Linked DNA regions of Tribolium castaneum. The protein of the gene in region 1 purifies or fractionates together with the protein of each later gene. This does not show direct contact. Links are inferred from orthologs where the notes say so. Each region holds a gene or a part of one and is shown in the gene's direction. Other genes may lie near its edges.

What was found. Proteins that work in one complex are often made in the same cells at the same time.
Region 2: the proteins of Dhx15 (region 1) and Sf3b2 purify together in Homo sapiens (co-immunoprecipitation; 3 studies listed by BioGRID and IntAct, with this or other methods). This does not show direct contact. The link is inferred for Tribolium castaneum from reciprocal best matches to the Homo sapiens genes DHX15 and SF3B2.

Annotation. Positions count from the first base shown.
Region 1 is NC_087397.1:4,419,793-4,424,091, forward strand, and holds the start of Dhx15 (putative pre-mRNA-splicing factor ATP-dependent RNA helicase PRP1), read left to right. Parts: upstream 1-1,444; 5' UTR 1,445-1,611; coding exon 1,612-1,661; intron 1,662-1,714; coding exon 1,715-2,125; intron 2,126-2,462; coding exon 2,463-3,547; intron 3,548-4,284; coding exon 4,285-4,299.
Region 2 is NC_087396.1:14,198,296-14,202,616, reverse strand, and holds the start of Sf3b2 (splicing factor 3B subunit 2), read left to right. Parts: upstream 1-1,503; 5' UTR 1,504-1,650; intron 1,651-1,774; 5' UTR 1,775-1,809; coding exon 1,810-1,909; intron 1,910-1,960; coding exon 1,961-2,187; intron 2,188-2,239; coding exon 2,240-2,421; intron 2,422-2,472; coding exon 2,473-2,674; intron 2,675-2,727; coding exon 2,728-2,904; intron 2,905-3,477; coding exon 3,478-3,710; intron 3,711-3,847; coding exon 3,848-4,202; intron 4,203-4,256; coding exon 4,257-4,321. Other genes in the region: uncharacterized protein LOC103313715, read right to left, coding at 1-1,137. UniProt on the Homo sapiens protein: Component of the 17S U2 SnRNP complex of the spliceosome, a large ribonucleoprotein complex that removes introns from transcribed pre-mRNAs.

The DNA of each region.
Region 1 (4,299 bases):
GTAACGAGCCTATGATTGAAATAATTTTGATCTGAAGTTGTTTCGATCGTATAATACCCCAATCAACAGACCGGGTCTGTCCGCCTAATTTAAAGTGCTAAGAGAATAAAATCGTGGGTCTACATGCACAGGTGTCTGATTCTCTTCCTGAATTTATTTAATTCTGAAGTGCCTCTTTGCCTTTTCTTTATGAATTAATAAACTGTAAGACGTAAATGTAAATTTTAACATAATTTACTCCCAAACGACAAATATTTTTGATAAAAGAACGTCACATTATTATTGGCTTTTGAGAAATAGTACAAAAAACTTGAAATTATTTTTGTGTCAGCGTACACGAACCACAAAATTGTAACGAAATTTTACACCCTTTATTACACACGCGGTCTCGTAAATTTATTGTAAAAGTGAATATTCGAAAATCTGGAAGTACTTCAGAATGATATTCGATTTTTCCCGTAGTTCAGTAACACTGCACAAGTTCAAAGCACGTGTGTGTTTGAACTTGTGAGTAAGGTACAAGAATTGTAAATTTATCCGTATTTACATCAGTTTAGCTTAAGATCCTTGTTCTTCCTTAAGTGGTTAAAGTGAATAGACTTCATCGAATTACTGTTTAAAATAGAAACTGTTGGACTAAAATTTCGTTTTGATCGTTGTAGATATTAGGAGATAAGTTCGGCTTTTATTTAGTTTAGTTAAATAAATATCTAGGAAATGTTAATCAAAATATACGATTATTATATGATATAGTGAAATATATCGTAACAGTAGATGTCTTAAAATCGATTTCTTTCTGTTATCTGTTATTGCGTTCAGTCAGCAAAAGAGCAATGTCCGTAAATTACCAAATATGCAATACATCACATGCATATCGAGAACTACAATCACAAGAGCCAACCATCACTACTGATTTGCCAACAAAATGAGCTTTTTAAATGATACGGTTAAATGTGGTAATAGACTTAAGATTTCTTAAACTGTATTAATTTTTTACTATTCTTTGTATAACAAGATGGCCAGACGGCACTAACACACTTCATAAACATGTAACTGTGTAAAATTTTAATTAAAAAGTGACGATAGGATTAACAAATTTCATACGTGCTGTACTATAAATGTATTAATTAATTAAAATATATTTTAAATTCAGGGCACAATTAATTACATTACTACTATTTTCGCATCAGAGGCATGTCCCATAAAACAACTTATGCGAAAAATTTTACATGAAGTCGGTTTAAAAAGTTGCAATTAATATGTTTCTCCCCAGAATCAGCAATATTCGCGCAGTACACATAATTTTGACTGACTAAAAACCAAATTATATTATTGTTATAAAGTTTAATTAATAAATTGTTATACGGTGTACAATAATTTCGTGGTTTCATTTTTCCCCTTAATTTTCCAAAAAATTTAAACTCCCGCTTTCGGTCGCCATGCAAATAAACGTCAATAAAACGGCAGCGCTCTGCTCTATCGACCGTGCAAAGTTGCATGGAGTCGTGGTCGTAGTTTTATTTCCAAACAAACTTTAATGCAATTTATTTTTATTTGTTAACAAGTAGACAATTCGAGAGCTTGTTACTATTAGCCGTAGTCTATCTAACAATGTCTAAAAGGAGAATCGAAGTGTTGGATCCGTTTATAAAGAAGAAAAGGTGAGTAACCACAAATGTCACTCAGCCACATTTTCCGCCTCGTGATATTTCAGGGAAGAACGTGGGATTAGCACTGCAGTAACGAACACCCCGCAAGTAACCAACGCCTCAATCAACCCGCACACCGGTTTGCCGTACACCAATAAGTACCATGAGTTGTATCGCAAACGCATCACGCTTCCTGTCTTTGAATACCGCAACGATTTCATGCGTTTGCTCGCCGAAAACCAGTGCATTGTGCTGGTTGGCGAGACAGGGTCGGGGAAAACGACGCAAATTCCACAGTGGTGCGTTGAATTCGCCAGGTCGGTCGGGAAAAAGGGGGTGTGCTGCACCCAGCCCAGGAGGGTGGCTGCCATGTCTGTGGCCCAGAGAGTGTCAGAGGAAATGGACGTCGCCTTGGGGCAAGAGGTGGGCTACAGCATTCGGTTCGAGGACTGCTCGTCGGCCAAAACTATCCTCAAGTAAGAGGGGCTATAAATATTTTCCAGAAACTCTTGTCTTCTTCCCCAATTATGATTATTCCTTGTGAAAAACTAGTTTTTTCCTCGCCGAATTCTATTAAACCTTGTTTTCTGAGGTTTTATTATTTTCAAAATACTCTTTTTCTCTTTTGGACTTAAATTATTGTTTTTTTTTTGAGAAATTTTAATGAATCAGACAGAAAAGTCAGTAAATTGGGTTTGAAATAAAAAAAAAATTGTCGTTTTCGAGCTTTTTATTACGTTTATCATATATTTACAAAAGCAGTTAAGTTAAATTAAGTTAAAGCATAAAAATTACAACTGTGTGATTTAATAGGTACATGACCGACGGTATGTTGCTCCGTGAGGGCATGAGCGACCCAATGCTGGACGCCTACCAGTGCATTTTGCTCGACGAAGCCCACGAGCGCACCCTTGCCACCGACATTCTGATGGGTGTTTTAAAAGAAGTTATTAAACAACGCTCCGACTTGAAATTAGTTATTATGTCGGCGACTCTAGACGCTGGCAAATTCCAGCAATATTTCGATAACGCTCCCTTAATGAACGTCCCCGGTCGTACGCATCCAGTAGAAATTTTCTATACTCCCGAACCGGAACGCGATTATCTCGAAGCCGCCATCCGTACCGTCATCCAAATCCACATGTGTGAGGAAATAGCCGGCGATATTCTCCTATTTTTGACCGGTCAGGAGGAAATCGAAGTTGCTTGCAAACGAATCAAACGCGAAATTGATAATCTGGGCCCCGAAGTGGGCGAACTAAAATGTATCCCGTTGTATTCGACGCTGCCTCCGAATTTGCAGCAACGTATTTTCGAGGAGGCGCCCCCTAATAAGGCCAATGGGGCGATCGGACGCAAAGTTGTCGTCTCGACCAACATTGCGGAGACTTCCTTGACTATAGACGGTGTCGTGTTTGTGATAGATCCCGGATTTGCGAAACAAAAAGTCTACAATCCTCGAATTCGTGTCGAGTCGTTATTGGTCTCGCCGATTAGTAAAGCCTCAGCACAGCAGCGTGCCGGAAGAGCTGGAAGGACTCGGCCGGGGAAATGTTTCCGACTTTACACCGAAAAAGCATACAAGAACGAAATGCAAGACAACACCTATCCAGAAATTTTACGATCGAATTTGGGTTCGGTCGTTTTACAATTGAAGAAACTGGGAATTGATGATTTGGTTCATTTTGACTTCATGGATCCACCGGCGCCTGAAACCTTGATGAGGGCCTTGGAATTGTTGAATTATTTGGCGGCGTTGGATGATGATGGAAATCTCACCGATTTGGGGGCGGTTATGGCCGAGTTTCCGCTCGATCCACAATTGGCGAAAATGCTCATTGCCAGCTGCAACCACAACTGTTCCAATGAGATACTGTCCATTACGGCGATGTTGTCAGGTATTTATTTTATTAACGTTTTTCTGAAGCAGGCCCTCAGCCCTTGCTTTAAACGTCGATTTGGTTATTTATTCCGATTAGACTCATTCAAAATAATTTTTTCATTTTCACTGTTTTGGTTTATTTAATTGGCAGCGTTGAATGTACTTTCACTACTTGCCACATAACAAACCTCAAAAGAATTAAAGGTTCCCATTTTTAAACGATTTTACCACAGTATTTATGCTTGGAGACTAATAAGTAATAAATTATATTTTTGATTTTGTGGTAGTTGATGCCGAATAATAGTCGGAGCAAAAAACCATTATCGTTATTAATGAACTAAATTTTTTGTTGAATATACGACTCAGCCAATTTCCGAAACCTCCGTAATCAATAATTCAAACGCTTGTGCAAAACAATATTTTTTAAAATGTTTATTAGATGCATCTTAATGTTGATTTTGTTTAATGAAGAATGAAAGTGGTTTGTTGTCCATGAATTTTACTTTATCAACTGCTACCTGTTTATTGGTCTGTTGTCACGCGGGTTCGTGTTATTCGGAACGATTTTCGAGCAAAACCGCTAGTAATATAGCTAATAAATGCTTGAAATAACAGACATTGAACAGAACAGAACACCACAATGTTGTGGTTTGTTTTGCTCGAGTCGTTCTGACTAAGGTAGCTCTGTAGGAAACGCTTGAGAGCGCAACTATATTGGTTGGATACGGGCAACTGCCCTGCTCCAATGTTTAGTCCCACAGTGCTTCA
Region 2 (4,321 bases), on another chromosome or scaffold:
AAATGAAAAGGACTCTTCACTGCTGCTCCCACTCTCGTCCAACTCAATGACAGGCACATTTTGTTTTTTGTCCTTTGATGTTTCAGATTTTTTTTCTTTTTTCGCCGTTGAAGCAACAAAATTAAATTTGGGCAAATCAATGGTAGGACTGATCTTCTCTGTAGTAGTCTTTTCCTGCACTTCAATGTAGCTTGAACTTCCCTCATCTTCATTCACAGGACTCAAGTTTACAGACTTGCAATTTTCAAAAGATTTTGAATCTTCAATTTCCCTAAACGAAGAAAACTTTCCTTTCCCACTTTCGTCCGCTTCCAAAGAAGACAAATTCTGTTTTTTGGTCTTTGGTGTCTTGCTTGAAGCAACAAAATTGGGGAAAGTACCATTGCTAGGACTATTTTTCTCTGTAATACGTCCATCTTGTGTACTCTTCTCGTTGACTTCAATGTAGCTTGAACTTCCCTCATCTTCATTTAAAGGGCTCAAATTTACGCTCTTGCAATTTTCTGACGGTTCTTCAAGAGATTTAAAATCTTCAATGTCTCTAAACGAAGAAAACTCTCCTTTCCCACTCTGTCTTTTGACCTTTGGTGTCTTGCCATGTTTATTTTCTTTTTTCACGTGTCCATCTTGAGCCATTTTCTCCGTGACTGTGATGAAACGTGAACTTCCCTCACCATCACTCACAAGATTTACAGAATTTTCGGAAGATTTCTCCTTCAAACTTTTTGTAGTGAGATCTAATGTCTCATCATTGCACTTGTCTTCCAGTTCACATTGCTTGGTACTCCTAAGAACTCTCTTAGCTTTGACGATTTTTCTTTTATTTTTTGGTACAGGTGGCGGCGAGATTTTTTGAACTTCCTTGAACAAAAAAGGGCTTCCTTTGTCACTTTTCCCGCTCTCATCGAACTCCAAACGAGGCAAATTCTGTTTATTATGCTTTGACGACGTTGGCTTAATATTTTCGTCTTCTTTTTCCACTGCAGAAGCATTAAAACTGAAGAAAAGCAAATCGTTCGTTTTTCTGACTTTTCGTCCACTTCTTGTTGCTTTGGCACTGCTTAAGGGGCCACTGGTGCTTTCCATTTCAGGTGGATTTAGTTTTTTATTTAAACGTCTGCTGGACCTCACTGACATTTTAATGCAAGCTATAAAACAATTTTTATGTAATTTTCGTATCAAAAAAACTCGGTTTTTACCTTTAACGTTGTGTTAAATCCAATTATTCGCTTTTTATAGTAACTTTACAGTAAACAAGGCACACAAATGACAAACCGACAACAAAACCGTTTTTTTGAATCTGACATTTGAGATTGAGATGCGTGATTGGTCCAAATTAGATTGGCATCTTGTTTGAAAAATAAATTGATTAAATATTTATAAATTATTGTATTTACAAGATGTTAATAGAGAAAGTTGTAACTAACTGGATAAATAACTACTACATTTGATTTATTCTGTATGAAAATTTTGGGAAATGTTTTCGCTTTTGCAGGAAATCGAGCTGTCGCGATTACGGTCGCATTCGCTCTAATTCCAAACAAAAATGTCGACCGAAACGTTGCTGAATGCCGCAATAAATTATTAATAATATTAAAAGTTTGCGGTTTTTCCTCATTGTAGATAAAATTTAACAGACTATCTGTTATAGTAAGTTCGCTTCTTGCTTTGATTCAAACATTTTTTAAGAAATTAGTATGAGAAAGAGGTTATATCAAATTGAGAAAAGTGCTTTTTAGTGTTAGAACAATTCCATAATCCCGTCTCCTTTCAGCTTACGGCTGCAACAAGCACTGATTCTACTGACAAATGAATCCGGATCAGCTACAAGAGGGTGTCCCGGAGCACCCTGTGCCCCACCAGGAAGGGATGTTTGGGTCAGGTATGCAAGGGTGGGCTGGTGAACATGGTAATTGATTGTTTTCAACCAGTTTGTTTATATCGCATTGGACTATTTCAGGTGTTGGTGGTGAAAAACAACTCCCCTCATTGCTATCCCTAAAAGTGGATCCTCCTGATCAGATGATGGAGACGCCACCAACTGAAGTTGTTTTACCTCAAGTGTTGGAAGAGGTGTTGGCGTTAAAAAATCAGAGAGCGCGTGAACTAGAACGAGAAGAAACGGAAACAGTAGTTCAACAGCCGCAGACTCCTAGAGAGGCGCTTTGGGAGAAAGATGACAATATTGTAGCTTTTTTAATTTTTTGTATGAATATAGTTATAACGATTGTTTTTTTAGGAACCCGTGGTTGAAAATGAAGAAGAGAGTCAGGTGAAAGAGACCACCAAAATCAGTAAGAATAAAAAGAAGAAGAAAAGGAAGAAGAACAAGAAAAACAGGGAGAATGAACAGAATAAAGCGGCTGAAGAGGAGGAGAAAAAGGATGGGCAAGAGGATGGGAATACAGATGTGGAAGTTGAGTAGGTGTTTTTTCTATTTGTTTGACAAAATTGTTATGAGTTTAATTAAAGGTACGTCCAAGAGACGATTAGTCTTCTTGAACTGGCTCCACAATACCGGCAGTTTTATAGCATTTTTGACGTGTTTAAAATAACTGATCAAAAGCATGATATCCCACCCCCAGTTCTGGCAACGCCAACATCATTGTCAAGTAAATCAATGTTAAATAGCATAGGAGATCACTTTCAGGAAGAAATGGAAGATGGGGACGACGTAAGTGTTGTATTACATTATGAATAAAAAATATGTATCTATTTTTTTTTCAGAAAAAGCTTGACGATAAGTCAAAAATGTCCAAAAGAAAGCTTAAAAAATTGACGCGACTTAGCGTCGCCGAGCTTAAACAACTAGTCAGTAGACCAGACGTTGTAGAAATGCACGATGTAACAGCCAGGGACCCAAAATTGTTGGTCCAATTGAAAGCTCACAGAAATACCGTTCAGGTAACGATTATAATTTTCTCAAAAATTAAAAGTAATGCAGCCATTCCATGATTACGGACGGCACATAACTATTATTTTAAAAATGGCTTATTAAAAAAAAAAGATGGATTAACAATTTAAATTCATTTTGCCACTTCTAAAAGTTGTTATAAATAATTAGTTACGGATGGGACACAAAAAATTATGCTTTGTAACAATTTTATTATAACACGAAAATGTTAACAAAATTCAGGAACTACTAACAATTAATAAAAAAAGAGAATACCTTTTATTAAATTATTATTAAGAATAGAATTAAGTCGTAAGCTTTGGAAAAATAATTTTCGTCACTACTTCCAATTTGAAAACTCTTAATTTTGCGCACATATAGAATTCTGTAGCATTATTAATTATTATTTTCTTTAGACGAACTTTGTTCCAAACTAAACATTTTACTGAACGCATAAGAAGCAAGGATTTGAATTTTTTATTAAAAAGTGATGTTTTGGAACAAACTTAACAGATTTTTCATAATAATAAAGCAGATGAAAATATATGCGGAGTTAGCAATTGGCTGAATAATGTGTTTTTCAGGTACCACGTCATTGGTGTTTCAAACGAAAGTACTTGCAAGGTAAACGTGGTATAGAGAAACCACCTTTTAATCTTCCAGATTTCATTAAAAGGACTGGAATCATGGAAATGCGTGCGTCATTGCAAGATAAGGATGAATCCAAAACACTCAAAGCTAAAATGCGGGAAAAGACCAGACCCAAACTTGGAAAAATCGATATTGATTATCAAAAATTACACGACGCATTTTTCAAGTACGTTTTTTTTATTTTTGATAAAAGCTAAAATTGCTATTGTTTGTAATTGTGTATTCGTAGAGATTGGGAATAATTGAAAAAGATAGACAGCTGTTTATTTAGAATTTTTTTTATAATCTCATTGTTATTGTTAGGTGGCAAACTAAACCCAAAATGACCATCCATGGGGACCTTTATTACGAGGGCAAAGAGTTTGAAACCAGATTGAAGGAAAAAAAGCCTGGAGATTTATCAGAAGAATTAAGAACGGCCTTAGGAATGCCTGTGGGCCCTAACGCTAATAAAGTACCCCCACCATGGTTGATTGCAATGCAACGTTATGGTCCCCCACCCAGCTACCCCAACTTGAAAATTCCGGGATTAAATGCCCCCATCCCTGATGGTTGTGCCTTTGGGTACCATGCCGGTGGGTGGGGAAAACCACCGGTGGACGAAAATGGAAAACCATTGTACGGTGATGTGTTTGGAACAAATGTTACCAACATAGATGTAAGTATTTTATAATATTGTTTTATTGAATTTTGTTCAAATATCAATGTTTAGGACATTGGTGAGGACCCTTCCGTGGATCGCACCCTCTGGGGCGAGCTCGAGTCCGAATCAGAGGA